Notamacropus eugenii: one gene and its partner. The protein of the gene in region 2 interacts with the protein of the main gene of each other region in a biochemical or structural test. Links are inferred from orthologs where the notes say so. Each region holds a gene or a part of one and is shown on either strand. Other genes may lie near its edges.

What was found.
Region 1: the proteins of REV3L (region 2) and MAD2L1 form a complex in vitro, tested with the Homo sapiens proteins (2 studies listed by BioGRID). The link is inferred for Notamacropus eugenii from reciprocal best matches to the Homo sapiens genes REV3L and MAD2L1.

The regions. Positions count from the first base shown.
Region 1 is NC_092878.1:164,427,858-164,444,348, reverse strand, and holds the start of MAD2L1 (mitotic spindle assembly checkpoint protein MAD2A), read right to left. Parts: upstream 7,086-16,491; 5' UTR 6,964-7,085; coding exon 6,891-6,963; intron 5,864-6,890; coding exon 5,717-5,863; intron 3,694-5,716; coding exon 3,537-3,693; intron 2,152-3,536; coding exon 2,048-2,151; intron 688-2,047; coding exon 515-687; 3' UTR 1-514. UniProt on the Homo sapiens protein: Component of the spindle-assembly checkpoint that prevents the onset of anaphase until all chromosomes are properly aligned at the metaphase plate.
Region 2 is NC_092873.1:191,658,800-191,674,570, forward strand, and holds the start of REV3L (DNA polymerase zeta catalytic subunit), read right to left. Parts: upstream 7,216-15,771; 5' UTR 7,124-7,215; intron 6,892-7,123; 5' UTR 6,506-6,891; coding exon 6,367-6,505; intron 1-6,366. UniProt on the Homo sapiens protein: Catalytic subunit of the DNA polymerase zeta complex, an error-prone polymerase specialized in translesion DNA synthesis (TLS). Lacks an intrinsic 3'-5' exonuclease activity and thus has no proofreading function.

The DNA of each region.
Region 1 (16,491 bases), on a different chromosome or scaffold from region 2:
ATCAGTATCTTTTTAGCTATTCCCAGAACAAAATAAAAACAAAAAATTCTACTATTTAGACCTCTCTTGGCACATTCATCACCTCCTCACTAAAAATTTTCCTCAAATTATGAATAAAACATTTGATTTTAAGCAAGTGTCAACTTTTGACTAAAGACGGAAAACAATGCTGACTACTTAGAGAGGCTGGACACTAATATGTTTTAGCACCCACCACTGAGTATCTTCTTCTGTCTCCTAAACAATGTTGCACCGTGTTTCTGTACCAATCTATTTTAGCCAAAAACACAATAAAACTAGAGGAAAAGCACTAAAATCCTCTCTACTCCATGATGTCAGCCCTAAGGTGTGTCCAGTATGTATAGACAATAGAAGAATTTTGGCCAGTACAACAGAGTATTAGTTTTCCCATTTAAAGTTTAACCAGTGAAATAAAATGCATCAACTCATTTAAATTATCTTACGGGAAATCCAGTTTGAGAATCACACACTCATTATTTTCCTTCCCTTGCCCTCACTCGTTGACAGGAATTTTGTAGGCCACCATGCTATTGACTTTGTGGATAGTGGTAGTAAAGGAACGGAGGCGGACCTCTTCAGAATTGGCGATAAACTGTGGCCCGGATTCTTCCCATTTTTCAGGGACTACGAGTTCTTTGTCTGTGTAAATGAGTAGATCGAATGCACCTGAATCAGGGGGAAATAATGGAGTTTGTGTTATTTCCAATGGACCCCAGGCTTTTGTTCTTTTGGTATCAAGGAAGCGCTAGGTTTGCAAGTCATGTTTCAGCGAGATTTAAAACAAACAAGGCACCTTCTCTCCCAACACTGAGGTGAGACATGGTCTTAAAAACTTCTAGTCACTAAAATGTTACTGAAGACTTGCATGAGAAACTCAAATTTCCTGTCATCAAAGTTCACAGAGCATTCGAAATGTGAAAACTGGCAGATACTTCTTTCAACTTTTCTGTGAAGCAGCTAAGTCGGGATTCATTCTAGTTTGTTAACACACAGCTCAGGTCAAGAGGGATCTCAAACCTACTTCTTAAACCTGACACTAACAAGATTAGAAATGTAACCATACCCTTGATCATGAACCTGTAACAAGAAACCAGACTGGAGAGGTTATATGAGAAGCAGAAAACAGTCCCAGCTAGGCCTTACAGGCACTATCAGTACAGATTAAAACAGAACACACAAATGGTTGTTATTTTAATAATAAAAGAAGATTTAAAAATATTTCTAAAAAGAGGTATTTTCTAGGTTTCTCTATAAATGAAGAAACTTTTTCATTAGTAAATAGATCAGTAAACTGACCAGCAGAGAACAATGATATATGATGACATTGTTTTAAAACAAAAAACCCAACCCTAAATCAATAGACCGTGAGACAGACAAGTTAAGTTCCCAGGATCATAGCATTTACACTTCAAATAAATCTCATCAAATCCCTTTCAGAAACTTTCAAATCCCTTTCAGAAACTTTCAAATCACTTTCAGAAACTGAGGCCTCAAGAGACTGAATGATTTGACCAAGGATCTCACAGGTCAAGGCAGGATCTGACTCGGACCCAGGAGTTCTGGTTCCAAATCTTAAACTTGTTATACTTAATGGATCTTTTCATTGTTTCTGTTTGGTCCCTTAGGTTCCATTCTTTCATCCATGATTTGTGACAAAAATATAGCAGTTCAATAAGTGTGTCAGCTAAAATACTTTCACTGACATGGGGGAAAAAGTTATTTGAATGTTTATGGAAGTCAGAGTTTGTTTAACCAACCACGGAGAATTGGGAGGCCTTCGTTTCAATACCTGGTCTCCTCACTAACTAGTTCTAAGACTTCCCCAAGTCCTCTTATAAGTGAGATTCCAGTCACCATGCTAACAGGCTTCACAGTCACTAGTCAAACAATCATATGAGCACAAAGCTATAAAATTCCCCAAATCGCACGCAAGGGCTTATTGACGTCCAGCAGAAGGTTCCAGCAGAACCAGTTCCAGAATTATCAAGTGTGGTCAGAGCCAACAAGGCTTCTACCAAATACTTACAAGCTGCTTCTAACAACGGCAGAAATGTCACGGTGGCTGTAATTTGGCGGATCACTGAGCGGATTTCATCTTGGATAGATTTCACCGATTTCTCTCTTGGTGCACTACAAAGGAAACAAAACATATCACTTCATGATGTTGAATGAATGAAAACTAGGAACGACTTTCTAAGATCATTATAAAGTCAAGCAAACATCTGATAGGAATAAACAGGCTAAGCCTAATAGTTAATCCTGAGAAAAAACAAGCCTATTTCCCAAAAAAGTCATGACATCACACCCCCACAAGTTCAAACTCTACAGTTAAGAGACTAAACTTGCTGTAATGGAGTCATTTCTTAAGGTTCAACATTATAATTTTAGTTTATGTAAACAATATTTTGTATTACCCAACACACAAGTGTTATATACAAGTTAATGTGTTGGGTTCTAGGACACAAGGATGAAAAATGAAAAAGGTAACAATTTGACTTCAATTTTATTAAAAGAAATTTAGAGTCAAGTCATTGGGACAGCTAGATGGAGTAGTGGACAAAGCTCCAGGTCTGGAGGCAGGAAGAACCATCTTCCTCAGTTCTAGTCAGGCCTCAGACACTTCCCAGCTGCGTAATCCAGGTAAGTCATTTCACCCTGTTTGCCTCAGTTTCCTCATCTGTAAAATAAGCTGGAGAAGGAAATAGCAAAAAAACTCCAGTATCTCAGCCAAGAAAATCCCAAATGGGGTCATGAAGAGCTGGACAAAACTGTAAAAACGACTAAACAAAAATTCAAGTCATTACCTCCTAAAATGTACGAAGATGGTCCTCACGACCATCTCCCAAATCCAGCACCTTATTCATTTATATTTTTCAGACTTAGTCACGCACCTCTGTTCCTAATTGTGGCATGAGCTTGATTTCTGCTTTTAGGTTTGCATTTGTGCTGGGTCCAGGGGCCTAGAGGGTAGACCCTCCCCTCCATTACTCAGCCTCATTTCTATTTGCAAAACACATGTATGGATTTTATTTCCTAAAAATGCTGCATACAATTGACTATGTAACAATAACTATTAAAATTCAGTAATTAACCTTAACATTTTACAGGAAATAAAATTCAATTAAAAAGTCATTGAAGGAGTATTTACCATGGAGTTGTAAGACTAGCATAAAGCAGCCCAATGGGCTTGGGGGTTGCATGGAGACTGAGGATGCTGGATTGTTTGAGTCTGGGAGCTCTGTTGCTGCAATAGGTTTTCACACCAAGTAGAGCACAGGGATGGAGAGCGTCCAGCAGGGGGCGCTAAGAGACAACCTGCACTAAGGTTAGGCCTAACCTGTGCTAAGCAGTATTGGGATTTGGGCAAAAGGAGACCACATCTCAAAAAAGAGATTGGCACAAAATGATCGAACAAACTCAAATGTCATTGCCTGCGTAGGTTTTCCATTAGAGAATTAGAACTGAAATATTTATTGGGGAAAAATGAATTTAAAAATAAGTAAGTGCACGCTCACCTGTCTTCTTTGGCAGTCTTGTCACACTCAATATCAAACTGCCATCGTTCAAGGACCTCGCCACTTTCAATATTCGAAATCACCACCACCAATTTCTGAACTGAACAATTGTACAGCCAGTCTGCATGCAACATGAGAAACCGTCTGTTTTTGTCTGCTGCCAACAATACAACACCCCACATCAATCTGGGGGCTTGGGGAATTTTCTATTTTTAATTTCCTCGACCCCTCAGTAATCATGGCTACAAAATCCTGAAGCTGGAAAATAAAACTATATCCCAGTGAGTACTAACAGTTGGCATTTATACAGCACTTTTATGAGTTCACTAATTAGAGCTTTGTGAAAGAGTTGCTATTTTATTACCTTTACTTTACAGATGGCTGGCAGAAATTAAGCGACATGCCCAGGGTCACTTGTCCGAGGCACTATTCACACGAGTCTTGTCTCCAAGTCCAGCTCTACTCACTGTGCTGCCTAACCGCCCCAATGCTTGTTACAATTGTGTCAGTTGTAAACATGATCCCTCTGGCTGTCGAGGGCATCTCCATCCCCCTGGTGCCTTGCGTCATAACCCAGGGGTCCACCTGGATCCTTGCTCTACCTTCCCTCACCCCCCATCCAAACTGGTGCCAAGGCCTGCCTATGCTCCCCTACAGCATCTCTCATATATGCCTCCTTCTCTCCTTTCACTGCACACCTGGATCACTGCAATGGCCGCTGGAGAAATGTCTGTCTGCCTCAAGTCAGAAGGTAAAGCTGTCTTTCTAAAGCACAGTTCAGTACACTTCAGTGGCTCCCTAACTCTTCCAGGATCAATACTAAAATCCTGTTTCTGCTCCCCGTGTCTTCTTGTACCTGACACCGCCCTTCCCCAGCAGGCTTCCTACTATTCAGCAACAATGACCTCCTTGCTCATCCCCCAAGGCACTCCCATGTCCCCAGACTCCAGGACTGTCCAGTGGCTGTCCGACATGCACAGAATTCTTTGCCTCCTCCTTTCCACTCTCTGACCTCTTCTGAGTCCCTGCTAGAAATCCTACTTTCTATAGAAAGCCTTTCCCAATCCCTCTTCATTCTAGTGCATTCCCTCTGTGGCTTTTTTCCAATTTATCCTGTCTATTGAAAAAGAAATCAGCTCTTTTTGATTACGTTTTTACTTTTACAATTTTCTAAATTTCTTTTGATTACGTTTTAGTTCGATTACAGCTCTTCTTTAGGAAGAACTAAGCCAGACTGAAATAGTCTTCTGAGTCTATATTACCTATAGATTTAGCGAATACATTGAATGAGAATACTTTATCAATGAGTAGCAGATACTTTGGAAGAAGAAAATAATCATGATTATAAGGTTTTTCAAAAGTCTAGGGGGTGAGGCTGACTGAAGCCAAGTTCCCTTTTCTGGCATCTGGAAGAAGGTTATCCAGAGGTTAAGATAAGCCCCCTTTTCTTTGGCTAGAGCATCTTCCAAGAGTAATGGACTCTGCTAAGGAACACTGGAGGTAGGGGTGGTAACCACTGACCACAAGTTCCTCTTTCCTAATACACTTTCTGATTATAAGAGGTACTACCTGGAGGAAAGGACATCTGGCAGAGGATGGAGAAAGTCTGAGAGAAGCTAACTAGAGGTGACCTGACTTGTCCAAAGGAATTATGTTCAAAACAAGTTTGTCATTTTTCCTCTTTTTGGTTATAAAAATCATCTCTGTTAATCATTCCTTGTCTCTGACCTCTAAGGAGTCTGGTAACCTGGCTTAATACACAATGCTAGCTTTGCAGATTAAATCATAGACGGCTCAGTAATTTTGTCCTCAGTTTCCTTTTTATTTCAGATAATCAATTTTAATTCAGATAATCAACACTACAGCTGGCTTGTACATAGTTGCTGTTCATCTTCCATTACACTGGGAGCCCTCTGAGAACAGAGGGCTTATCTTTATTTGTCTTTATTTGGCTCCCCAGTGCTTAGTACAATACAGCCCCAGCACATAGGAGACACTTAACAAACATTTCTTGACTAACTAGACACACAATTCCTTTCTGACATCAAAATCTATTTCAAATGATATGATAAAGACCAGCAGTACAGAATGTTGATTTTTAGGCTAACAATCTAGATTCTCCTACATTTGGTTTGGCAAGGTCTGGAAATAGGAAAAAACATATATTTCAGCTCAAATACCTTTTAGTTGGTCCACCACGTTATTCAAGTATTTTATGAGATCAGGATCTGTTGTGACAAGCAAAGTCAGCCCATATTTCTGCACCCGAGTAAAAGTTTCAGATGGGTATATACCACGCTGATATAAGATACTGTTGATGCCAAATGCTGAAAGCGAAAAGAATAGGAAAGTGTTTTTTTTAAAGATCACAAAATGCTTCAACTTCAGTCCAAATTGGTAGAAAAGAAAGGAAACCCATAGCTAAGAATAAAGTTCTATAGTAAATGCAACATATGTATACACACATAAATGCAACATATATGTGCACACAAACACCCTACTTTGATTTTTCCCTGCAGAAAATATTCTAGTTTTTATGGTCAGTAAACATCTATGGCTGGAATAATCATCTAGAGGTAAGGCCATAAAAATATATGAATTTTCCCAAGGTTACATTTCAGTACAGTGCTGAAACAGCCACTATATGAAAATAGAAATAGCAAATACTTACCATTACCATCCACCTATAAAACCTGGCATTTACAGATCTTAAGTTCACTAAAGATCAGACACCAACCTATGAGGAGCCTCTCCAGGCTGCTCGTTAGCAGGGAGGACATCAAAGCTCTTACCTGGCCCAGCCCCTTCCCCTCACGTGCCAGGGAGAGGGCTAGACAGGGCCAGACTAGATACAGTAGCGAGTCCCTCTTCCTCCCACATTGATACAGTTGCAAGGAAGGGCAGCCCCCGAGATGAGACATTCCTCACCATCGGATACAACGGGCAATGATCAGCTGTCACCAGAGCGGTCTTCAGCGGCCCGGACACGCCCGCGGGCCTCGGGTCCTAAGGCCCCGTCCTGAGCCTCAGTTTCCCCGCGTGTAAGAGGGGCGGGCGGCTGAATGGAGTCAGGAGGCCCCAAGTTCAGATTCGGCCTCAAGCACTTCCCAGCGGGGCGACCCTGGGGGGGGGTCATTTAACGCCGTTGGCCTCGGTTCGCTCATCTGTAAAGAGAGCTGGAGAAGGACACGGCCGACCGCCCCGGCGTCTCTGCCCAGATAAACCCAAGGGGGCCCGGCGTCGGCGGGGGCTCAAACGACTGGACCACGAGGGCGCGGGGGCCTAGAGGTCGCTGACAGGCGGGGACACTGAGGCAGCGGGGGCTCCCAGGGAAGGGGGGAGGGAGGCACTCACAGAAGAACTCGGCGACGATGTCGGCGCTGCCGCGCAGGGTGATGCCCTGGTCCCGGGTGAGCTGCCGCTCCATGGTCGCGGTCACCGAGCAGCTGCAGGAGCGCGAGCTCCCTTCACAACAGCCCCGCGGCCACGTTCAAAAACAGCCGCGCCGGGATCCCCGCAGCGCGCGCCTCGGCCGAGCGGGGCGGGGCTGGCCTCGACGCACGCGCACTCTGGTCCGCCGCGAGCGTCCCGCTCTGCGCAAGCGCCACCGGGGCCTGGGCTCTCGCCTTCCTCCTCGGCCCTTACCATTGCGCAGGCGCAACGAGGCGTTCTGCCGCTTCCCGCCTCTCTTTCACCTCCGGCGTCCTGTTGCGGGCAGAAGGAAGCCGTTGTCCCTCGGCGCAGGCGCGGCCTCTCCCCACGAGCTCCACCCCGCCTCTAGCGCATTACGCCGCGCAGGCGCACTCCTGCTAGCAGCATGGGGGGGCGGGAGTGGAGTCGCGGAAAGCAGGTCCCGCCCACTTCCCCGGCCCCGGCACAGATTCGGAAACTGAGGTCGGGGCTCCGCGAGCGCGCGGGCGAGGAGGCCCCGGCCTGGATCCGAGTCTGGGGCGCCCGCTGTTTGAAGGGCGGGCTGCGGCCCGGGACGCGCGAGGAGAAGCTGGGCACACATCCTGGGGGGGGGGAATTTCCTTCCCCGGCCCTTGGACAGATGGGGAAACTAAGTCAGACAGGGCCACACAGCTGGGGAAAGTCTGACGTCACGTCTGACTGCGGGAAGCCGAGGCCTGCCTCTCGGCGGGCGCTCCGTGCGCTGCGGCGCCACCTGGCGGCTGCCCATGGGTCATGCACAAACCAGCCGCGTCCTGGCTCCGCTGACAGTTTGCGCAGTTTACCTGGAAAGGACTTTAAAAGGAAATCCGTTCTGTGCACTTGAGTGAAGTATCTCCACGGCGACGGCGGCCTGGGAGCGCCCTGACCTCAGGGACTGGTTGTTTTTTGCCTTTCTTTATGACCCATTGCCTAGGTGACTAATGAACTGACCGTTTCATGCCAAAGACCTTGACCTTTTCCAAAGGATTACTATTATTCCAATATTATATTCCAAAATATATTTTCCAAAGTCTTATTATTCTAATAGTAAACATCTCATAGGAATTAGAGCAAGAAGGGACCTTGGAGATCACGTGTTTTTTCTACAGGATGAAACAGGAGCCGAAAGTTGAAAAGATTTGCCCGAAGTCACCCCTGGAGTAAGTAAATGGTTGAGGCAGAATTTGAATTTAGGACAGCTGAGCCCAAGTCATCTCCCTTTTCAAACACACCAGCTGCTTATTAAAGTTGTTGTTCATCACATGTTCTTGAAAGAAGACGATGACATCAGGAGGGTGAGGTCTTGACCTTCAGTGAATGGGGGTGCAAAGTCATCAACCTCATCTGTCCTCCAGAGTTATCAGAGTCTGGTGACAAGACAAGAGCTAAGTGGACTGGAGATGGCTGAGTATAGAATGAAGAGCTACCAATATAACCATATGTCTGACCGGAGGTCTATGGCCCCATCCCTATCCAGTGATACTCAGCTGCCCCTCCACAGCAGCTCTTCTACAAAATGTACTTGAATACACTCTCCCTTCACCAGCCACCTCCCCAACAACCCCCCATCTTCTCTAGGCTCACCGAGCAACGGAGGAGACAGAATGCAAACTATATGCAGATAAGATATATACATGGTAAATGAGAGGTAATCTCAAAGGAAACAAAGTAACCTTAATGAGGACCAGGAAAGGCTTCCTGTAGAGGGGCAAAGATGAGGAGGGACAGCCAGAGAAATGCTCCTGAGTCCAGATGGGGACAGCGAGGAGGTCAGTGTCACCAGATCCCAGAGTATATGGAGGAGACCAGAGGGGCAGTTTCCCCCACTCTGAATGTCTCCATCCAGAGTCAGAAACCCTACTGACACCACTCAGATATGGCAACGATGACAAACTTGACTATCTTTTCTTTCCTTTGAGACCTGGGAAAGGTGTCTCTGAGCCAAATTGACAAGGTGTTCTAAAGTCTCTAGAATTAAGTCTTCAATTCACCGAATCTTTTTGGGAGCAGCTGGGTGGAATTTCTCCAATTACTCTAGAGTGGTTTACCAGACTCACCTAAGATGGAAGGAGAAGCAAATGTCCCAGGAGGCCAGCAACCATAAAAAAAGGCAACTTGGTAAGGATTAAGTAAAATGAAGTAACTTTTTTTTTTAAAATAAACTTATGTGGTTATGTGCTATAAAATGTAAAGCTTTTTCAACATAACAAATTAATTGCCAGAGTCCAAAAGTTGACTTTTAGCACAGTGGACAGAGCACTGGACCTGCAGCCAGGAAGACTTCAACTCAAATTCCACTTCAGACGTTTACTAGCTGTGTGACCCTTGGAAAGTCACTTAACTTCTCTTTACCTAAGTTTCCTTACCTGTAAAATGGAGATAATAATAACATACCTCCTAGATTTATTTTGCGGATTGAATGAGATTACAAAGTGCTTGGTGAACCTTAAAGTGCTCTATAAATGCCAAAAATTAATATTTATTATATCACATACTACATAATTATTCTATTTATTATTTGTTAAAATGAATAATACTAATATTTTTGAGGCTATTGGGGTAAGTGCCCAGGGTCACACAGCTAGTGAGTGTCTGAGACTCGATTTGAACTCAGGTTCTCCTAACTCCGTGGCCAGTGCTCTGTGCACTGCATCGCCTAGTTCTGTATAGCCCAGAATAATGCTAATAATGATGACAATAATAGCCACTATTCCAGCACTCTCATTTAAAGAATGTCCAGAGAGGTTAGGTAATTTGTTTTAGCTCAGTCAGCAGATGGTCATAAAAGCTAGTCTCTGATCAGTCATTTCAGTCATGTCAGACTCTCCATGACCCCTTTGGAGGGTTTTCTTGGCAAAGATTTGGGAGTGGCTTAACATTTTCTTCTCCAACTTATTTTACAGATGAGAAAACTGAGGCAAACAGGGTTAAATGACTTACCCAGGGTCACACAACTAGTCAGTGTCTGAGGCCGGATTTGAACTCAGGAAGAGCAGTCTTTCTGACTCTAGACCTGGCTCTTTATCCACTACAGTGCAACCTAACCTCATGCATATTGCTGTGCTGTTTGAAAATATTGAAGAAGTCTTTCATTCTTGAAATTTTGGCTTAAAAAAGAACTGATTTTAAATAGGATTTTCATTCTGTGGACAAGTGGGACCCCCCCAATATAGGGGGATTTTGGTTTAACAGAAATCTTTCTGGACATTAAACCAATTGGCCAGAAGATGGCACTGTTTAGCTATGAAACAGGCATCATTAAAATTCTCATCCTAAGAGTTTGGAAACTTGGTTCTTAGAGGTGGAAAGCACTTTGGAGGTTCTTAGTCATGGATCTCTGACACTCCCTCCCCCTTCACAATTCTCCCCTCCCTCTCGGTTTTACAGAAGAGGAAGCAATACGGAGCTCCTAACAGTCCAATGTTCATTCTATTATTTCTAGTTTTAAAAATGCATTCATTTTAGATAGTTCTGCTAACTTCTAATAGTGATGAAAAACAGAGACCTAGGAAGTTATGAATTCATACAGTTCAAAGTTTTTAATAAAATAATTTATAATATTCCTCTTCTCCTCCCCTACCCCCCAGTGTCCTCAAACACCCTGCCCCTTCTAAGAAATACAGATATGTTCTTCAGTGTCCTGGTTCTCTGTCATGGAAAATACCATTGCCTGGCCCTCTATCTTCTGATGTACTTAGTGTGTATGTCATAAGATGGGATTTGAGTTGAGTCTTGAGTAGATGCTGTCAGTCCTCTGACTCATACTCGTAGGATCATAGATTTAGAGCTAGGGGGGCCCTTAATAGCCATCCAGTCCAAACACCTCATCTTACAGATGAGGAATTAGGTCCGGAATGGAAGAGGGACTTCTCCAGTTACATAAACAGTTTCAAGGATGGAATTTGAACCCTCTACCTCTTGTATCCAAAGCCTCTGTAGTTTGGTAGAGTGAATGAAAGCTTTTGTGCCTCTGGTGTTGACCCAAGATGTGCCAGTGATGTATTAGAAAAAGGCCTTGTACAGATATTGTACTAATTCTATCAAATCCCAAAACACTATGAAGTATCCTCAGTGAAATCCAGTCATTTAATTATCCTCACCAAACAAGGAGTGTGGAAGAAAAACGCATGTTGCACAATATGTGGTTGGATGGGCAGCCTCCTGAGTTACTCCATCAGAATACAGGTGCTTATGTTCCTCCTTGCATCACAGACCCACTGGGAAGGGGAGAATTTTTGTTAGTGGGAGGGACACAGATCGTCAGCTCTCCTCAGACACTCAGATTCACCCTAGTGGGAATTGTATGGACCGAGATTGACTTGAGGGGAGTGACCTGGAGCTGAACCAAGTTTCCTTATGCTTCTCAGATCAGACAACTCAATGAGTTTGGAAGTAGAAGCTCACAAACACAGTCTAGAGAAGCTGAGAGACAGATAGGGTTTAAGGGTGTCTCAGGCTGATTCTTGTCTGGTGTGAATAACAAAAGAGCTCACACCCCCTTAGAATAAAATCCTAAAGGAGCTGATCAAATGCTTTCTTGGTTTGCCTTTGAAAGCCCTTCACACTTGTCCCCTTCCTCCCTTCAAGGCCTTCGTATATTTCAGGCCCTTCCAGACACTTCAGCTACCATCACCTCCCATGAACGTGACACTTCCTTGAACGTTTCTGCTCTGGCTGGCCCCCATGCTCTGTCTCTTGGTTTCCAGGACTGTCTTCAAGAACTATGCTAGGAGGCCTTTCCTGGGCTAAGATTACCTTCTGTCTACTCTGCATATGTCGTGTATGGGCCTAGTTATTTACGTCTTGTGTCCCATAGCAGAACGTGGACTTCTTAAAGGCAGGACTGTTCTTGTCTTCCTTTGTATCTTTGAACATGGCCTAGCTCACAGGAAGTGCTTCATTTTGACTGATTGACTGGATCTTGTTTAAAATCTTGCCTCTGTCACGTATCACCTGTGTGGTTCTGGACAATCCATTTAACCTCTTTGGGCCTTAATCTCCTCATATTTTGGACTAGATGGCTTCTGAGGTCTCTTTCTACTCTAAACCTCCTTCACCCTAGGAAAGAGGGTGTGCCCTAAGGCGCTATCACAAACATTCATCTTTTCTTTAGTGATCTCATCACTTCCCATGGATTCAATTATTTCTATGCTGATAATTTCCAAATCTACATATCCAGCCCTTGAATCTCTTCTGGGATCCAGTCCAGCATTTCCAGCTGCTTGCATCTATGTTCACCTGGATGGACTGTAGGCCTCTCAAAGGCAACATGTCCAAAACAAAATCCATTATCTTTCCTTCCCACACTCCTCCTTTTCCAAACTTCCCTATTTCTGTGAAGAGCACCACCAGGTTATCGAACCATGAGTCATCCTTGATTCTTCATTCTCATTCACCTCTTGCCTTCCTCCCTGTCTGATCAGTTGCCAGGTCTTGATTCCATTTCCCTGACATCTCTCCCATCCATCCTGTTCTCTCTCATTCACACCACGATTACCCTAGTCCAGGTCCTTATCTCTTCTTGTATTGCATGAGTCCCCCAAATATTCTTCCTGATTCTAGGCTCCCTCTTCTCCAATCTGTCTCTATAAAGCCACCCGATTCAAATTCCAAGAGTATAGGTCTGATTACATCACTTTACTTCACAAAAAATCCTCATTGCCTGCTCTCTGGAGGATTTAAAGCCCTCATAGTCTGGCTCCAGTCTCTTTTCCTAGCCTGATTACACATCCCTCCCCTTCAAACATTCTGCACTCAACCCAGGATGGCCCACTTGTTCTCCCTTGTATAGGACATGCCATCATTTCCCTCCTCTGCTTTCAGCTAGCTGTCCCCCATGCCTAGAATCCTTTCCTTCCTCACATCTGCCTCCTGGAGCAACTAGTTTCATTCAAGGCTCCCATCAAATACCTCCATCTTTTACTTCCTGATCCTCCAGTTGCAATCTACCTCCATCCTCCACCATCACAGCATATTTATTTTGTGTAGTTACTTAAAAGGGGGGACTGGTACTCTCTCACTGAGAGCCTCCTTCGGGCCAGGAGAACATGGTATGTACAAGAGAAGACTGGCTAATGAGAGCAGTCTTTGTCAGTATGCCAGAATACCTAGCTGATGCAGTTCCCCCACGTGGAAGAGTCTGGGGAATCTGATTTATGCTGATGAATTATGGAAATGCCTTGTAGAGAATTAGAACATGCACAAATAATCTGCTCTCCACAGAGACTGAGCTGACAGAGGGGAAAGTGTCTCCAAGGTTTTAGAGAAGAAATGTTTGTGCTTCTGGGATTGTTGTATCTTCAAAGTTCATATCCTTTGTAAAAATCTAATTGATGTCAATTAGTTAAACGGAACTGGAGTACTATTTACTGGTGGCAAATAATAGAAGGAAAGCACTAGAATGGGGGCTCAAAGGGACAGCATTAGAGAAAGACCTCCTCCTCTTCTGACCAGTCTCCTCAGTAGTATACTTAGAGGCCTGATAGGGAATGAGTCCAGACTACTTGTTATACATTATATTTCCTTATCCATGAACATTTATCTCCTCTCTAATAGAATTCTCCTTAAACTCAGGAAATGTTTCATCATCTTTTTTATATCCCCAGCACCTAGTTTAGGATCTGGCATGTAGTCAGTGCTTAATAAATACTTGTTGATTTTTGTAGGTCTACATTCTAAGTAATTTGGAATGCTTCTTCTCTCCATTGCTATAAACTCATTGGGAGTAGGGATTGTTTCATTCTTCGTATCCCCAAAGCCTAGGATTTTTCCTGGGACATTGTAGGTGCTTAATAAATGCTAGTCTATTGGGTGATTGAATCAGTGGCCCTTGGTTTCTGACCACTGCCTTCCTTAATTCATTATCCCTCTTAGCCACCCCCCTTTCTCTTAGCTGTTCCCCTCCTACTTCCCTGTTGTGTAAGGCCCTTGTGATTTCTCACTTGTGTTTTCCTTTTCATGCTTCCCTTGAGTCTTGCTTTTGAATGTCACATTTCTATTCAGCTCTCGTCTTTTCATCAGGAATGCTTGAAGGTCTTCTGTATCATTAAATGTCACCCCCCACCCCTAATATTTTTGTTTAAATATTCAAACATTTATTATCTAACCCCGATCATTGTTTTGTTTAGCTATGTACAACTCTTCATCTGGGATTTTCTTGTTAAAGGCACTGGAGTGGTTGTCAAATGGTGCCTGATCCTGTACCCAGTGTTAACATAGGGATCCCCTGGAATCTCTTTCTGATCAGGTGTTCAGTCACCTTGCCAGCCCTTTAGGCTGGGTGCTCCCAGTGCCACCAGAGCTGCTACTGCTGTGACTTCCAAGGGCCACAGCTAGTTCAGGATCACTTCTGCTACACCCTACTTTTGTCATACTCCCCACTAGCCTCTTCCCCAGTACCTGTAGACCCCTCTTTCTCTCTACCTAAGCTGCCCTCGACTGGAAAAATGACTCACTGTGACTTGTTGTTTATCCTACTCACAATTTGGTTTGACAGTCTTTTAAAAGTTATTTAGAGGAGTATGTAAGGAGAGCTAAACAAAAATCTCACTTAATTCCATCATCTTGGCTCTGCCCCCTGAATCAATCCTCATTTTTTTATTTTTGTAAATTTTAAAAAATTTTAAACTTAGATACAGAAAGAAAAATAGAAACTTAAATAGTAGAACTAAAATAATACAAAATAAGAAAAGATAAAAAAAGCGTTGCCATCTGCACAGCAGAACTTGAGAGGATTCAAAATATACAACAATAAATTTCCATTTCAAAAAAGTCTATATGTGAGGGAGGAGCCAAGATGGTGGACTAGAAAGATACACATATGCTAGCTCCTAACCCACAGCCCATAAAATATCTGTAAAGAAGAACTCCCAACAAATTCTGGAGCAGCAGAAGCCACAGAACAATGGAATGGAGGAGATCTCTGTTCCAGAGAGACCTGAAAAACTGACACCAAAGGTCCGTTGAACACCAGAGCAGAGCCCAGCCCTGCCTTGGCCCCGTGGCACTGAGGGGAGCAGATCTGAGCAGGCTTCAGGGACAGAATCTCAAGCAGCAGCGCAGGTCCCTCCACCCACAAGCACCAAAGGTCAGTGAGAGGATCTTTTCAGCTCCCTGAGAGGGGAGTGGGGTGCCCCCATAACTCAGGCCCCTCGGGAGGCAGCAGTGGAGGCAGCAGTAGACAGGGGCTCCCAAAGCAGGCAGGAGCCTGGATCCATTGTTGAAGGTCTCCACATAAATCCCCTGAGGGAACTAAGCCAGTGGGGTGGCTCTGCCCCAACCCAAGCACCTGAACTTAATCTCACACTGAATACCAGCCTTGCCCCTGCTGAAAACCCTGAGGCTGGGAAGCAGCATTTGAATCTCAGCCCCCAAGCACTAGCTGGGTGGATCTGGAGGTGAGGTGGGTGTGGAAAGGAAACTCAGAAGTCAAGTAACTGGCTGGGAAAATGCCCAGAAAAGGGGAAAAAAATAAGACCATAGAACGGTACTTTCTTGGTGAACAGATATCTCCTGCCATCCTTTCTGATGAGGAAGAACAATGCTTACCATCAGGGAAAGACATAGAAGTCAAGGCTTCTATATCCCAAACATCCAAAATAAATATTCAATGGGCTCAGGCCATGGAAGAGCTCAAAAAGGATTTTGAAAATCAAGTTAGAGAGGTGGAGGAAAAACTGGGAAGAGAAATGAGATAGATGCAAGAAAAGCATGAAAAGCAGGTTAATACCTTGCTAAAGGAGACCTAAAAAAATGCTGAAGAAAATAACACCTTGAAAAATAGGCTAACTCAATTGGCAAAAGAGGTTCAAAAAGCCAATGAGGAGAAGAATGCTTTCAAAAGCAGAATTAGCCAAATGGAAAAGGAGGTTCAAAAACTCACTGAAGAAAATAGTTCTTTCAAAATTTGAATGGAACAGATGGAGGCTAATGACTTTATGAGAAACCAAGAAATTGCAAAACAAAACCAAAAGAATGAAAAAATGGAAGACAATGTGAAATTCTCATTGGAAAAACAACTGACCTGGAAAATAGATCCAGGAGAAACAATTTAAAAATTATGGGCCTGCCTGAAAGCCATGATCAAAAAAAGAGCCTAGACATCATCTTTCATGAAATTATCAAGGAAAACTGCCCTGAGATTCTAGAACCAGAGGTCAAAATAAGTATTCAAGGAATCCACTGATCACCACCTGAAAGAGATCCAAAAAGAGAAACTCCTAGGAACATTGTGGCCAAATTCCAGAGTTCCCTGATCAAGGAGAAAATATTGCAAGCAGCTAGAAAGAAACAATTCAAGTACCGTGGAAATACAATCAGGATAACATAAGATCTAGCAACTTCTACATTAAGGAATTGAAGGGCGTGGAATAGGATATTCCAGAAGTCAAAGGAACTAGGACTAAAACCAAGAATCACCTACCCAGCAAAACTGAGTATAATACTTCAGGAGAAAAAATGGTCTTTCAATGAAATAGAGGACTTTCAAGCATTCTTGATGAGAAGACCACAGCTGAACAGAAAA
Region 2 (15,771 bases):
ACCAAAGGGTCATGACTGGGAAGAAAAGAGAATGCAAAGTAGGGGTGATGGATGATCAAATGAAGTATTGAGAGTTAGAGGAAATGTAAGTCATGGTAAGGACAAAGAATAGGGTTTTGGAGGGGGGGGGGTGTCATAAAGCACAAAAAGAGACATAATAATAAAAGATTATGACTGGATAAAGGAACATCAGAGGTCCTCAACATAATACAATAATTTCAGGTGATGGTAATATCAAAGGTTTAACTATCCTGATGTGTAGCTGTGGTAGTATGATGGAATAGGTCACGGGAGTTGAACAGACTAAAGAATTAGGACGTACACTAATCTGTATCTGATGACCCTTATTATGATGGCAGGAGTTAGAGCAGAGAGACTTTCAGCCAAGAACTAAAGTAGAAGTTTGACTCTAGAAGTGAAGGTGGTAGAGAAAGAGTCTGAAGTGACAATGGAGAGCAAAAACTGATTATTCCTACTGCTCTACCTAGACCAGTGAATCAGAAGGCTTTGGGAACAGTGGTCAAAGATGCAGTATTGTCTGAAGGGAGACAGGTATCAGTGAGTGCTAAAAGATAAAAGGAGTGAAAGAGGAAGTTTAAAACAAAAGGAAGTCTGTTCATTATGGAGCCAACACTGCAGAGGGCACAGTACAAGGGACATGCAGATCTGGAGTAGCACACTAACAGACTAGTGATGAAATGGATGAGAATGAATAAGTAGACAACTGGTATTGGATGTTTCACATGTGCCTCACACTATGTCCAAAATAAAATTCACTATCTTTGTCAATAAAAACACATCCCTCTTCCAAAATTCTCTAATAATTTTAAAAGCGCCATTATTCTTCCAGAGTATCAATATCAGCTCCTTACCCCCCCACATACTCAAATTACAAAATCGTGTCATTTCCACCTTCATAAGACCTTTCAAATCTGACTCCATTCATGTAGCTATCACCTCAGTTTAGACCTTCATCACTTCTTGATTGAACTACTACAATAACCTTCCAATTATCTCCCTGCCTCTCTCCATGTCAATCAACTTCAACTTAACTCCAAAGCAATTTAGCTAAAGCACAAATCTGACCATGTCGATGCCTATTCAATAAACTCTTGTGGCTCCCCATTACCTCTAAGATGAAATACAAACTCCTCTATTTGTCATTCAAAGCCCTTTATAACCTGGTACCAACAAATATTCGTACCTTATTATATACTAATCCTCTTCAAAATCCAACTCTCCTCTCAATCTGATCTTCTTACCCTTTTTAATACAAGGTATTTCTTCTTATTTTGGAGCTGATTGTCCTCCATGTCTGTAATGCACTATCTTCCCTACTCCCCCCCTAACTACTTCTCTCTTAAAACTTTCAATTTCTTTCAAGTCTTAGCTCAAGTATCACCTTCTACACAAAAGTCTTTTTTGGTCACCCTAAATGCAGCCCCACCCCAATCATCTTATATCTGTTTTGTATATTCTTTTCCCTGTATGTGTTGTCTCACTGGACAGAATGTACGCACTTTGTGGGCAGGTATTATTTTACTTTTGAATTTATACATATAGTAAGCACTTAAATAAATATTTGTTAATTGATTTAATTCAAATCCTGGTTCTGATACTAGCTGTGTGACTTTAGGCAAGTCACTTAACCTCTGTTTTGTCATCCGTGAAATAAGCAATTTGGATTAAAATATCTCTAAATTTATTAGCCTACATGAATAAAAGACTATATCTACATAGGTAGATGGGTGCAACTCTGGGAATGCAATCTTGGATTTTATCCTTTATTCTTCTCCCTCTTTCAAGGTCCATATCAAATGTGTTGCCAAGTCTTGTAAATTCTATCTTCACCACATCTCTCATTTGTCCTTCTCTCTCCAATCATATATATTAGGAATAGACCCATTTAGCATGGTATTGTGACTTCTTTCTATTTTAATGTAGGCCTTCTTCAGTTCTGACCTAGACCACTACAATAGTCTAAAAGGTCTCCCTACTTTCATTTCCTCCCCTCTCCAATACATCTTTCACATTCCTGCCAAACTGCTACTCACAAAACCTAATTGACCACATAATGACATATCCCTTATCTCAAGATGAAAATCTTCAATGGCTCCCTACTTCTTTCTAAAATAAAATACAAAATTTTCAGCCTGGCATTTAAAATCCACCACAATCTTCCTCCCATCTCCCCTTCCATTTTTATTTCATATAGTCCCTTTCCTGTATCCTCAAATATAGTCTAACTAGTCTCCTAGATGTTTCCAAACATGATATGTCATCTTTTACCACTCTTGCCTTTACATAAGTGGTTCCTCAAGTCTGGAATGCCTTCCTCACCTCCATCTTACAAAAAAATTAGTTTTCTTCAAAGCATGACTTAAATGTCAGTCATCTGGTAGAAGAGACCTTTATTTGACCTGGTCTCCCGTCCTATTCCCCCTCCCCCATAATTAGCATACTCTTCCCCCTAGAAATTAATTATACTGTTTTGCATTTATTTAATGGTATACACTACTGTATCCCCCAGTACAAAGTAAGAACGTAAATTCCCTAAGGGGAAGGAGTGTTTTGTCTTTGTATCCCCAGAACTCAGTCTTGGACAAAATAATTTGCTTAAAATGTTTGCTGAATTGAATCAGCTCTAGCAAATCTGATTTATGTTGTTCACAGAATCAACAATACTATACTTCATTATACTACAATAATCAAAGACCCTGGAGGTAGAAAGAGACCTATAAAGATCCCTTTTCTAGTCTAACACCTTCAATTTAGAGATGAGGAAAGTGAAACTCAGAGAGATGAAGGTCATAGGAATTCTATGTAACTGCAGAGCTGAATTGGAACACAGGTCATTAGATTCCATATGTAATAATTATTTCCACTTCAATAAACTTTCAGAGAATGAAGAAAGATACTTCCCCTAAGAAAGGGCTTCTTCTATTTACAGTTTGGCCTACTGTACTTACAATCCTTACTTTGTGGACTTCACACCTTCTGTTGGTTCTTATTTGCATCTCAAGTTCAAAGGCCTTTCCTAAAGGAGACAGTTCTTTTTAGCTTGGTGTTAAGAAGTCAGTTTTCCCAAGGCCTGAATTAAGCCAAAAGACTAAAAAAAGTCAGGATATGGGAAATGAACAGTTTTCCAAGTCCAAGTGGCTTCACAATGCTATGTCAAAGAGTTTTGTAGGTAGAAGGGATCTGAGAAATTAACTACCTGGTCCAAGAACTTAATTTTACACGATCAGGAAACAGAAGCTCATATCAATCTAACTTGTGGGCTGGTTAGGGGCTAGAACCCAAGTCCTCAGACTACAAGTTGAAGTCTCTTTCCATCACCATGCGTTTTATTACTTAAATTCCCAGAGTAAACAAACACTTCTGTATTTAAAAAATACAAAAATACTATCTCCAACTTGTAAACACTGTCCAAAACTACTCTTCCTAATGAAGAAAGGAAGCAGTTGGCAGTACTTAATAAATGTCAAACAGGTGAGATAACAAAATAAAGCTCTTAGGGAAAAACATTAATGTAAAGAAAATCACAGCAGATCATTCTTGAATAATACTTCCACTCAAACCAAGAATATAAAAATGATTTTTTAGGAGTCAACAGCCTCACTGAGCAATTACTATCCAAATTTTATTTGTTCAAGAAATGTAACAAGAAGAGTCTATTTTTTAATTCAGGACACCTAATTTCTAAAAAGTTATCCACACTGAACATTTAAATAGAGTCAAACAAATTTAAAGTAAACCAAACTAGATATTTTAGAAAAGAAAGCATTTCCATGCAACAGTACAAACTGGCATAACTTATTTATTCAAAATCTACTCATTCAAAAATAACACTCATTAGGAAAATACATCAAAACAATTTATTCCTCTGAAAAAGTTCAATAACTGATTTGTCTCTGACACTTATTCCCTGTATGAACTTGGGCAAATAAATCATTTAACCACCTTGAGCCTTAATCTCCTCATCAGTTGGCCTCTGAAGTCCCTTCCAGCTCTAGACCCAAATCAAGCCTTTAAGAGTACATTAGCAGTTAATTCTTAAATGTTATACTTATTTATGGCATATTATGTAATATAAGCTGATCATTAATTATAATTTTAACCACTCACATACATGGTCAAATGACTCATTTTAAAAAAGCAATTTTTAAAGATAATTTTGTCACTAGTATGTTCCTAGATCTGGAATTGGAAGGTGTTCATACTTGTCTTTTTACAGGTAAGGAAACTGAGTCCCAGAGGAGATGTGACTTGCTGAAGGTAATAAGTAGCTATACTAGCACTGAACCCAAGTCATGTGACTCCAAATCCAATACTCAGCCCACTTAAAAGGTGCATGTCTACAAACAATGAATAATTTTATAAATTAATTTCCTGTTTAAAAAAAGTAGGAGAGAGTGTCTTGAGCTGAGAAAAACTACACAACAGAAGATGAAGTTAGTTATTGAAGGAAAAATTTCTCTCATTATGCTTTAAAAGTAGGATAAATTACTTATTTTTTATAGATAATAGTTGTTTTATTAAAATAACTTTCATCCGCTGAAATTTTCTATTCAAGTTGTGGAAAAACTCAGGACCATACATTTTTGGACAAATAGTTACAAAATTATAATTACTTTATGAATCATCCTATCAGAGTATGAAAATTCACTCAGGAATGTTCAATAACACTGGGAGGGGGGCAATCAAAATGAGCTGCAGGGAAAGAATGTAACAAAATGTAAAAGTTATAAGCAGAAATAACACTGGATGCCTAGCATCTGTTTTATCATTTGACAAAGATACATCAATTGCAGGATCTCTCCTTTTCATTGCACCTGGAGAACAAACGAGATAATACAAATTTCAATTAGAAACAAAGACAGCATCCCTTACATTAAAGAGGACAGAAAACCTATCTTTTCCAGCACTTTATCTGCTCAGCCCTCCCCTACATGTTCAAAGTTTCAAGTAATACTCTTGTAACAAAACCCTACAGTATTGAAATGCTCTATCTTAAAAGGTGTCAACACCCCCTTTAATCTCTATTTTAAAAAAACCTCAACAACTGGATACTGTAATGAAATGCTCCTATGAACATAGATAATTTTAACAAAGGGAATTTGCACTAAAAGATAAATGCCTGGGAAGAAATTTTATCTTTAGGGAAATAGTAATATGTTGGTAGTTTATAGGAAACGGAATCTAGTAATAAGGTGAATGGTGAAAAGGGCAAGGAGCATCAAGTGGGAAATACAATTCAAAATCCCATGGGACAAAAACGCATAGCTAAAGGTAAGGGCATCCATTTCTGAGGGAGGGAAGGAGGTAGGCCACTCCAAATACGTTAGAATAAAAGCGAAGTGATTAAAAAAGCACCTTTCAAGTTTGGCCAACATCCTAATCAAATGATCATGAACCTCAGGAGCTTTTGAAAACATAACTAAGATCATTCCATTTCCCCCTCCCTCCTCATCTGCTGCAATATAGCCTTAAAGCAGCTCTTTTTATCTAAAGATGTACTGTCTGTCTAAAAGGCAATCCTGCCACCCAGCACATGGCATTTTCTACGTTTATACATCTGTGTTGAATTGTGGTTCCTAACAAATTAAACCTATGACATGGTACGTTTTTCCTTCAGAAACAAATATTTTCTGCTTCCAAAGATGCAAGCCTCACTCCAAGCCCCGCACCTGTGGGGTGCTATCTTGTCCCCAGACTCTGGAGGCGTCAACGCCACAAATCCTTCAGGAATCATCCACAGCTCCCACCGGAAAGCCACATGGTCATTTCAATGGGAAAGCTGTGTGGCCCCGGGCACCTCCCTCAATGTACTGCCTACTGCATCTCCGAGAGGAAAGGAAGGGAACAAGGAGCATGATGGCAGCGTGATGGTGGTAACATTTTGACAACAGAAATGACCGCTTCCTCCTCTTGTGAAGCTATTTCCAGACAGAGGCAGTAGACGAGAAGCAAGACATGGTGGTGCTTCCCACCAGGTGATCAGCACTAGAGGGGAGGGGGGACTACTCCGAACAGGTCCACGAAGGCCCCACAAAGACCATCCCAGCCCCGCAAGGCGGTTCTCATTTAAAGGGGGAGGGGGATGTTGAGAGGAGAGGCAGGGAGTGCGGCGTCTGTCCTCCGGCTCCCGGCAGCCTGGCGCAGTGTAAACACTCAGGGAGACCGCTTCTCTGCGCCTCCCTCTGCCTTTCGGCTGGGGGCGAGGGGGGTATCTGCGCTGAGCCCACAGCTCGCCCCCTGTCACGCGTGAGAGACAAGCCCAGGCAGACGCCGGCGGCGGTGGCCACGGCCGGCGTGCGTGTGTGTGCCCCGGAGTGGCCGCCCCCTCCCCCCGGTCGCGCTCACCTGCGGGGGTCGCTCCGAAGACTCGCACCACCGGCACCTTCTTGACGGGGTCCTGGGTGAAGGGGGATTGGCAGATATCCAGCCCCTGCAGCGGGCTGGCCATGTAGTAATCGGCAGTCACTATCCGCACTGAAAACATGTTCGCCGCCGCCGCCACCTCTCCCTCAGCAGCCACACAGAACAGCAGCAGCAGTTCCCGCAGCAGCAGCAGCAGCAGCAGCGCCCCCTCCCCGCCCGCCTCGCCTGCCGGCCCCTATCTCCGCTCTCGTCTCCTCACCCCTCCCAGACACCGCGAGGAGGAGCAGGAGCGGCGGCGGCGGCGGCGGCGGGGCCCAGGGCTAGGGGTCCGCGCTGCTGCTGCCGCCTCCTCAGGAGCGCCGCGCGGGGGGCACGGCCAGAGAAACCCCGACGCTTTCGTCGCTGCCGCTGCTACTGCCGCTGCCGCCGCCTCCGGGGATCACACAGGCTTCTCCGTCCCAGGCTGCAGCTCTTGTTGCCATGATGATGATGTCACGGACGCAACCACTGGGGGGGGAGAAGGGGGGGTGTAAAGAGGGTGGGGGAGGGGGTGTGGTTAGGAAGAAGAGGAGGAATGGGGGGGGGGTCACCGGGAGGGAAAGGAAAAGATAGGGTGGGAGGGAGGGGGAAAGAAAAGAAAGAGAATGTGTTTCTCCCCCCGCCCCCGATCGGCACGCGCCGGGTCCAGCCCCAGCTGGGGCCCGGGAGAATCGATGACTCGTAATGTGGGTACCGTCACCTGGGTGCGGGCTAGGAGAGGGAGAAGGGGAGGTGGAGCGCCGATGTCATGGATGGCGAAGGAGGGGGTCGCCTTTCAGTCACTTGCGGGGCAGAAGTGTTTGGAGTTGGGGGAAGGGCGGCTGCGTTTGGGTCGGTTTCAGCGGTTACGCGGGATTGGCAAAGGCTGCGGCATTTCGCGGTTTTTTTTTTTTCTCAGACCGCCATTTCGTATCCTGCAGTGGAGGCGGAGATGGGCGCCCGGCGCCTCCGCCCGTTTTCAGAAGGTAAGAGAATCCAGAGTAGGGGAGGAAGCCGGGGGAAGGGGAGAGGAGGGAGAGGGAGGGGGAGGGGGAGGGGCGGCGCCGAGCCGCGGCGCGCGGGAGGGGTGGGGAGGGGAGGGGCGGGGCGGGGTGAGCGGAGGAGATCGGAGGAGATCGGACGGATTTAGCACCAAGTCTCCAGGTAATGTTCGGGGCTCCTGCGCGTGGCCCGGAGGCGGCGCGAGGGGCGGGGGGAGCGCGAGGCTTCGGGCTCGGCCTATAAAAGGGCGGCCCCGGCCGTGCGGCTGTTTGTACGTGCGCCGCCGCCGGAGCCGCCGCGCTCTGCTTCTTTGCGCGCCCACTTCCCTCCCCCCGCCATTCACGCTCTCCTCCCCTTCCCCCCACCCTTTGCTGCAGTGTGCGCTCGCTGCCTGTTAATGAGTCTCTGCTCGGCGGTGCCCTGCCCTCCTCTGCCCTGCCGTGCCAGGGGTTGGCAGATGGAGTGAGGATTTCCCAGTTCGTTGTGTCTCACGTTACACGCCCCCACCTCCCTTCCCTCCGTTTTCTCCCTTCGAGCTCCTTTTTTCTCGTGGCTCCGGAGCCGCCGCCTGTCTGCGCGTGCCTGGGCTTCCGTGTGTACGAGGCTGTCGGCCCGTGACCTTTCCCCCCAGTGGAATGCGGGATTGAAAGACTTGGGAAAACAACGGAAAAGGGCCAGGGTAACCCCTCTGGATGGAAATGCCGAGGGCGTCGTGTTAGGCGTTAACCCTTTATGGAAAGCACAAAAGCTTGAGTAAATCTTTGAGAATACTTGGAAACGTGAATCCAAATCCTGTGGGATGAGATTACGTTAGGAGATAAACCCACCCTCCTGGCAGTCAGGCGGTCTGGGTTTCTTGCCTGCGTGACCTTGAGCAAGTTAATTTAGGATTCCCGGGCTTCAGTGTTCCTGGCCGTGAAATGAGTGTTGCACTTGGTGGTATCAGCTTCTTTTAAGTTGTATACGATTTAATAAGTCCATGATTCCTGGGTTTTAGTCCCAAGTCCACCTTTTGTCCTGTGCAGTTCGGTTTGGTCCAAATGTTAAAACGCTCGAAAATGGACACCAAAAGCATCCGAGGATTTAGGACTAGAAGGAACCTTAGAGATCACCTCGTCCTTACAGATGAGAAAAGTGAAGAGGGTGTGTGACTTTCACGGTACCTTCTAGATACTAAGTAGCCAAGATGTTTCAGGAATTTGTGGGTAGGTCCTGTGACTCCAGTTCCAGTGCTTTTTCTACAGCGCTGATTAGCGCTCTCGCTGGTCAGGATTTTTGCCTACCTGTTTATTACACACCTTTGTTTTGATAGCCAGTAAATTACTGTATATTTGGAGTGTTTTGAGAGAGCCTCATTTAATAGAGTTGTAAGTTCTTTTGATAATGTCTAAACCATTTTACAAATGAGGAAATCGAGGCCTGGAGAGCGATTCAGTAATTGAAGGTCATGGAAATAGTAAGTAACAAAACCAAGATGACCCTAGGTCTTTTGACTTTTAATCCAGTGTTCCTTTCATCACATCTTAACAATTTCGTAATAGGGAGTATAGTCAATGGGAACCTTTGTTACATGGGATTTGAGATATAACAGTATGGCAAATTAGCTTACACTTGTGGGTCTTAGTACCCATGGTGGAATTCTCTCCATATATTTAAGTAATGAATTTCTAGTGCAAAATATTATATAATTCAGTTCCTAGGTGGATGACATAGATCAATAAAAGGCTTCTTGCTTTCATGAAGCCTTTAATTTTATGAGAGGGCTTATAACAGTATGAAAGTAGACAAATATCCTAGGTATATATACCTATATCCTTGGTATAGATATCCTAAATCCCTGCTGTCTCCTTAAAGAGGTTAGAATTTTGGTAACATGGTTTCACCTGGACCTTTTGAATCCCCTTTCTCCCCTTAATACCACATATTAGGTGATTGATCCATACACTTGGCCTGTACCCTTGGACTTGGTCTTTAAGAAAGAGATAAAGGACACAGCCTGAAAGAACCAGAAAGACTTTCATAGAGGCTTTAAAGAGTTTCAAACAGAGAAGATCCACCAGATTTGTGCATAAACAGTGTAAAGAATAGTTTTGGGGGAAAAAAACGGGAAGACGTGTTAGGAGAACATTGTAGTAGTCTGGGAGAGTTGTAATGCATGGCATCCATGGATATAGAAAGCCTCCCCTTACATCTTGTCTTTACCATCTTCTGCCTTGAATTTAATGTAAGGTATTCAGGCATCATGAACCAATTTCAAACCAACTGTGCTGTTGTTTCTGAAAGAGGCATATCATTCTACTCCCTTATGGTTCCACTTAGCATCTCTGTAACTTTCAGAACCAAATATCCCCTGAGAATGTCAGCTCTTTGAGGGCAGGAACTGTTTTTGCTTTAATGCTTGTTTCCCTGGGGACTAGCATTATATAATATTGGTATATTGTAGGAGCTTAATATATGCTTTTTCAAATTCACTGGTTCATTCTCATGCCCATCCCATATCACTTCTCATCACCACTTACCTCCTGCCATCCGTTTTCATACTTCACTGAAACCGCTTTCTTACAAGATCCTATTATTTATTGCATAATCCAACAGACTTTTTTCAGTCTTCATCCTGTTTTACATCTCTGTATCATTTGACACTGGCCACCACTCTCTCTTCCCTGACTTTGATAATGCTCTCTCCAAGTTCTTCCGTCAGTCTGGTGTCCCACCCTTTATGCATGAGTATACACCCAGGGCTCCATCCTGGGCCCTCTTCTCTCCCTGCACACTATTGGTGATCTCATCTGCTCTCTAGTTCAACTATCATCCCAATCACTTTTCCAGTCCTCATCTTTCTCCTTCATTCCAGGCCAGTATCTCCACCTGCCAGACATCTCCACCTTATTGTCCCTGAGGCTTCACAAGTTCAGCTATCCAAAACAAAATGCATTATCTTTCCACCTAAGTCTACCGCTATTTCTAAGCTCCCTATTTTTTTAAGAGCATCACATTCTTCCAATCTCTCAGATTTATAATTCTGATGTTATACATCTCAGTCCAATCCAAGAAACATTTATTAAGCTTTTATATGCTAGGCACTGGCTAACTGCTGGGGATACAATGAGTAAAAAGAAAGACAGTTTCTGCCCTCAAGGAATTTTCAGTCTAATAGTTGGAGACAACACACGAAGGGAGGCAGGAAAGTGGAGGAAAGGACAACACACCAGGGATATCTTGTTTCCTGGAGTTGAAACCAGGCAGAGTAGCAGATGCAAAGTGGAGTGAGTTGGGAGGCCAGTCTGCCTTGTATAAAGGAAGGCACTGAGACTCCTCTCTCATGAGGTTATCCATCCTCTAGTCCTCCTGTCAGGAGGGAGAGGAAGCTGAGGGGGGTAGTGTCAGTCCAGGCTTGAGTTAGCAGCATGGCGATGAGATTAGAAATGAAGTTTCTCCTGGAAGAGGTTGCTTCTTCCCTGGATTTGAAACTAGGTAAAGCAGCAAATGCAAAATAGAGTAACTCCTCAGTCTCACTCACCCCTCATAGACAATCATTTGCCAAATCTTGTGGAAAGTTTTTTTCTCCACAACATTCCTTGCATCTGTCCCTTCACACCTCACACCACAACCATCTTAATTGAGGTGGTCATCATCCCTTTGACAATAGCCTCCTGATAAACTGTCTGCTTCCTCTTTCCCCATTCTGTTCTCTATCCAGCCACCAAATTGATATTCCTGAAACATAGATCTAACCATGACACTCCTGCATAGAAAACTTCACTGGTTTCACATTGCCTCTAAGATAAAAATGCATAGTCCTCTAAATTTTCAGCATTTAAAATACTTTAAATCCCTGTAGCTTATCTTTCCACACTGATTATGTATTATTCCTTCACATGCACTCCACATCCCAGGAAAATTGGCTTACTTGATGTTCCCTATATGATATTTCATCCCTATCTTTGTGTCTTTGCCAACCAGGTTGTTCCCCTCAGTTGTATTTCTGTTCTTCCTTATTTCCGCCCTTTGGAAACTCTACAAGCCTAAGCTCAAGTTTCACCTTCTTTGAGAGTCCTTTCCTGATTTCCCCCTGTTATTAGAGCTTTGCCTCCCTGTGTGATATTTATTTGGGACATACATACATACACACACACACACACACACACACACACACACACAATCTGCTTGTCTATAAACATTGTTTTCTACCAGTAAAATATAGTCAAGGAGGCAAGGACTTTAAAATTTTTTGTCTTTATCACAAACACTTAGAACACAGTAGTCTTCTTAGTAAATGCTTGTTGAACTGAATTGAAAAGAGAATTTGTGGAGGTGGAATTAACAGAAACTTAGCTACTAATTGAGTTTTCCTCCAGTCTCACTTCCTAAGGTAACCCTGAAGTTTTGAGTGCAGGTCAGTAGTGATATTGTTAATAGAAATTGGGAAGTCAGAAGGAGGAGTAGGTTTTTAGGAGAAAAGTAGTAAGCTCAGGTCTGTAAGTGTTGGAGTTTGAGATATCGTGATGATGTTCAACTGTAGGAGTCCAGTACGCAAAAGGAAATGTGGGTCAAATCTACGAGAGATCAGATCTAGAGAGTTAGATTTGGGAGATGTAGTTGAAGCTATGAAAATGAATAAGATTATGGAAGAAGAGAGAAGAAAAAAGAAAAACCTAGAACAAAATCTTTGGGAGCAATTCTATGAATGGACTAAAAGCCAGTCAGGGAGATAGAAAAAAGATCAGATAAGAATAATTAGAAAAATGAAATGCTGTTGTAGGAACTGAGGGGTGGGGGAAGAGATGGAGTTGAATGGAGTCAAGTTCTCTAGGAGGATGACACCTGAGAAAATAACCATTGGATTTGTCATTAAAGGATATAATTGGTGACCTTTAATAACACAGTTTCAATAGTATTATGGAGACAAAAGTCAAATAGCAACGGGTTGATGAATGAATGTGGTGACTTAAGGGAGAAATCAGATTTTAAAATAGGAACATTGTGCTAAAATACAATTTCTGAAAAATGCTAACAATTTTCTGAACAAACTGAAGTCCAAATGCAACATATAGTAAAGTAAATCCTTAGTTTTCAAGTAATAATGTTCTTAGGGGAAAAAATGGGAACTATCAAATCAATGGTTTAAGTATTTCTGAAAGAGGAGAAATTTTATTCTGCCTCTTAAATCAGTAGCATTTGGAATGTTAATAAAAGACGAATTCAACAATTCAAACCCTTTTTGCACTAGTCAAAGAATACCCACCTGAAGACAATTTCTTAGCCATTTTCAACATGGTTCTCTATTTCATTTGGCTTAAATTGACAGCAGAATTTTAGTATTCTTGGGAAAGAGATTGAAAACAGTGAACCTAGTTCACTGTTATCAGTTGTGTTTTAAAAGAACTTATCCTCAATTAATATAGTGACATTTTGTTGTAGTTTGTTGTTTAGTCGTTTTCAGTCATGTCTTAATCTTTGTGACTTTTTCTGAGATTTTCTTGGCAAAGATATTAGAATGATTTGCCATTTTCTTCTTCAGCTCATTTTACGTATGAGGAAACTGAGGCAAATGGGTGACTTACCCAGGGTCACAAAGCTAGTAAATGTCTGAGGTCAAATTTGAACTGAGGAATATGGCTTCCTGACTCCAGGCCTAGCACTCTATCTAGTAAGATAAGCTGCCCATATTGGCATTAAGAAACTTAATCAACAGCACAAGGAAGTAATAATAAAAACTTATATTTACATCGCTTTAAAGTTTAAAAAGGATATACCTTTTCTCATTTGATACAACAGCCCTGTGAGGTATATAGTGGAAGTAAAAATTCTGGAAGAGACAGCATAGAAATGATCTAGCCCAGAGGTTCTTAACATTTTTTGTGTCGTAGACTTCATTGGTAGTCTAGTGATACCTATGTACCTTGTCTCAGAATAGTATGTGTGTGTATATATATATACACATACATATATATATACACATACATATATATATACATATGTAATAGACATATGTATATATGATATATGCACTGCATATAAGCATGTAATGTATTGCTACATATATACACATGTGTATGTACACACCATATGTAACGTGTATATATAATACACATGCATAATATACATACACAATTACATTGAAATATTATCAGAATGTTTTTAGAGTTCACAGATTTCAGTTTAAGAGTTATTGCCAGTCTAACCCCTTCATTTTATAGATGAGAAAACTGAGGCACATCAAAATGAAGTGACCTTCTTATTGTCATACAGGGAGCAGACAAACAAGGCTTCAAACCTCGATACTGACCTCAACCTCAATCCTTTTCTCATTTTACAGCTGAAGAGACTAAACCTTAGAAAGGTGAAGTAACTTGCCAAGAATCACATCTCATTTATGACAGAGCCAGGACTTGAACCCAAGTTTCCTTACTCCAAACCCATTGTTTTTTCCAGTACATTATCATCTTTCTATAAATGTGGGAAGAAAGGAATAGGATTGGTACACATCAACATGCAGATAATATTGGACCTAACGAAATAATTTATATTATCAGCATCATCCAAATCTTTAATTCTCTTCCTAATTCTGTGCTCAGTACCATACAAAACCAGTTAGTACCTACTTTTCAGTAGTTTGTAATTGAAAGACAGTGGTTCTCTATTTTTTTGGTTCTAACTGAGCATAGTAAAGTACAACGAAGTCAGTCATTACCGTAAGGTCTTTTGCTCACTTGAAAGGTCTATGAAAGGCTCTTTCTAGTGTGATGCAAGTAAGAATATATTTAGTAGCCTTGTCCTCTCTATATTTGAAGTGGTACTAAGACATTTAGGAGGGAAGTTCAGTAATAAATGGCAGCTTTGTATGCCATATGGATTTAGATGAGTCTAGGTAAGTAGATTTAACATTGCTCAAGTTTCTAACGGGTAGTGAAAGAACTGAGAACCAAGGAAAAAGCATTGGGAGCCTCCTGGCTTCATATCCTATAAGTAGTTGCCAACAGGCTAATGAGCCTTGTAAGGAAAAACTGTAGGAACAGCCAAAGAGGGCACACCTATGAATCCTTTGTTTTCAATTGATATCATAATAAACTACAGTAATCTGTGGGTTCAGTGAACTTAATGTTTTAGAGGTTGAAAATCTTCATGTCCATCTTTGAACAATATCAACAGTGTTACATGTAGTGTTGCTAGTTTTCTTTATCTTTTGTCTCTATCTTTGCTACCTACCTCCTATGTTACAAAAATTGGTTCTGCTTTGTGAATGGCCTTTCCCTTCAGTATCTTTTATTCATAGTTATAGCTCTCCTCCTCAGCTTCAAAACCAAACCTTTTTATTCCCTCCTTAACGTATTCAGGGAAGAGTGCCAGTTGATTTGACATGATTCATATTTTTGTTGATTTATATTGTTTTGCCTTCATTTTATTCTGTAGTGAATTCAGTAAAGTTCAGTGTACTTGCTCCAGTCATTCTCTTCATCAGCTTCCTACCTACTATTGATGATTCCAGCCAAAGAGAATATCTGCTACATCTAGTCAGAGGAAATATACAGCTTCTCAGTTTTTATCCAGACGTTAGAAAACTACAGAGCTTCTTTGGTAAACTCTAGGAAATTGTTGAGCAGAGCAAGCCCCCTTTCCAGAAGGATTTCTGAATTTCACGTAAGTATGGAAGAATCTAAATGCAATATCCTTTAATTTAGCTTCTTCCCTAGAGAGCTTATCACTTTCTTCACATGGGAGAGTTAAAATTGGACATTTTAATGAGAAATATTTGCTAAACAAAGATCTTGTTCATTTTTTTGCAGCCTATTAAGTTTCTCTGTTGTGAGAATCAAAAAATTTTAAAACATCTTTTAATATTGCTTCTAATGATTGTCATTAGAGGCACTAATGAAGATATGCCTTAAAGAGGAGGATTGAAGGAAAAACAATGAAAGAAACTGTGGTATTCTGAACTTAACCTGATTGATACTGTGTAGTGTGTGTGTGTATGTATGTGTGTGATTGTGAAACCAAAAGCAACTCTATTTCCATCCTCCAGAGTTAAATCTGAGCCATTCTTCTGTGACTTAAAGAGCTGGAGTGGAGAGTAGTAGAAGCAAAGATTTTCCTTTTGTTTATTTGTCCCAGGATATTAGAGGTATTACCATTCAGCCAGGGAGAACTGGAAACAAAAATTTGGTGGGAAGGCCACAACTAGACCTTGAATTTGAATAGTATAGGGCAGTGTAAGAGAGATATTAGTGCTGGAGGCCACGTAAATCAGTCAAACATAGGCGATTTGGCCACATTATCTCTAGAGAAAAAGGGACACAAATGCCTCCTTCACTGCTAAGGGTAGTGCTGGCCATTGCAAGCAGCTAAAAGAATTGTTTCAAACTGGTT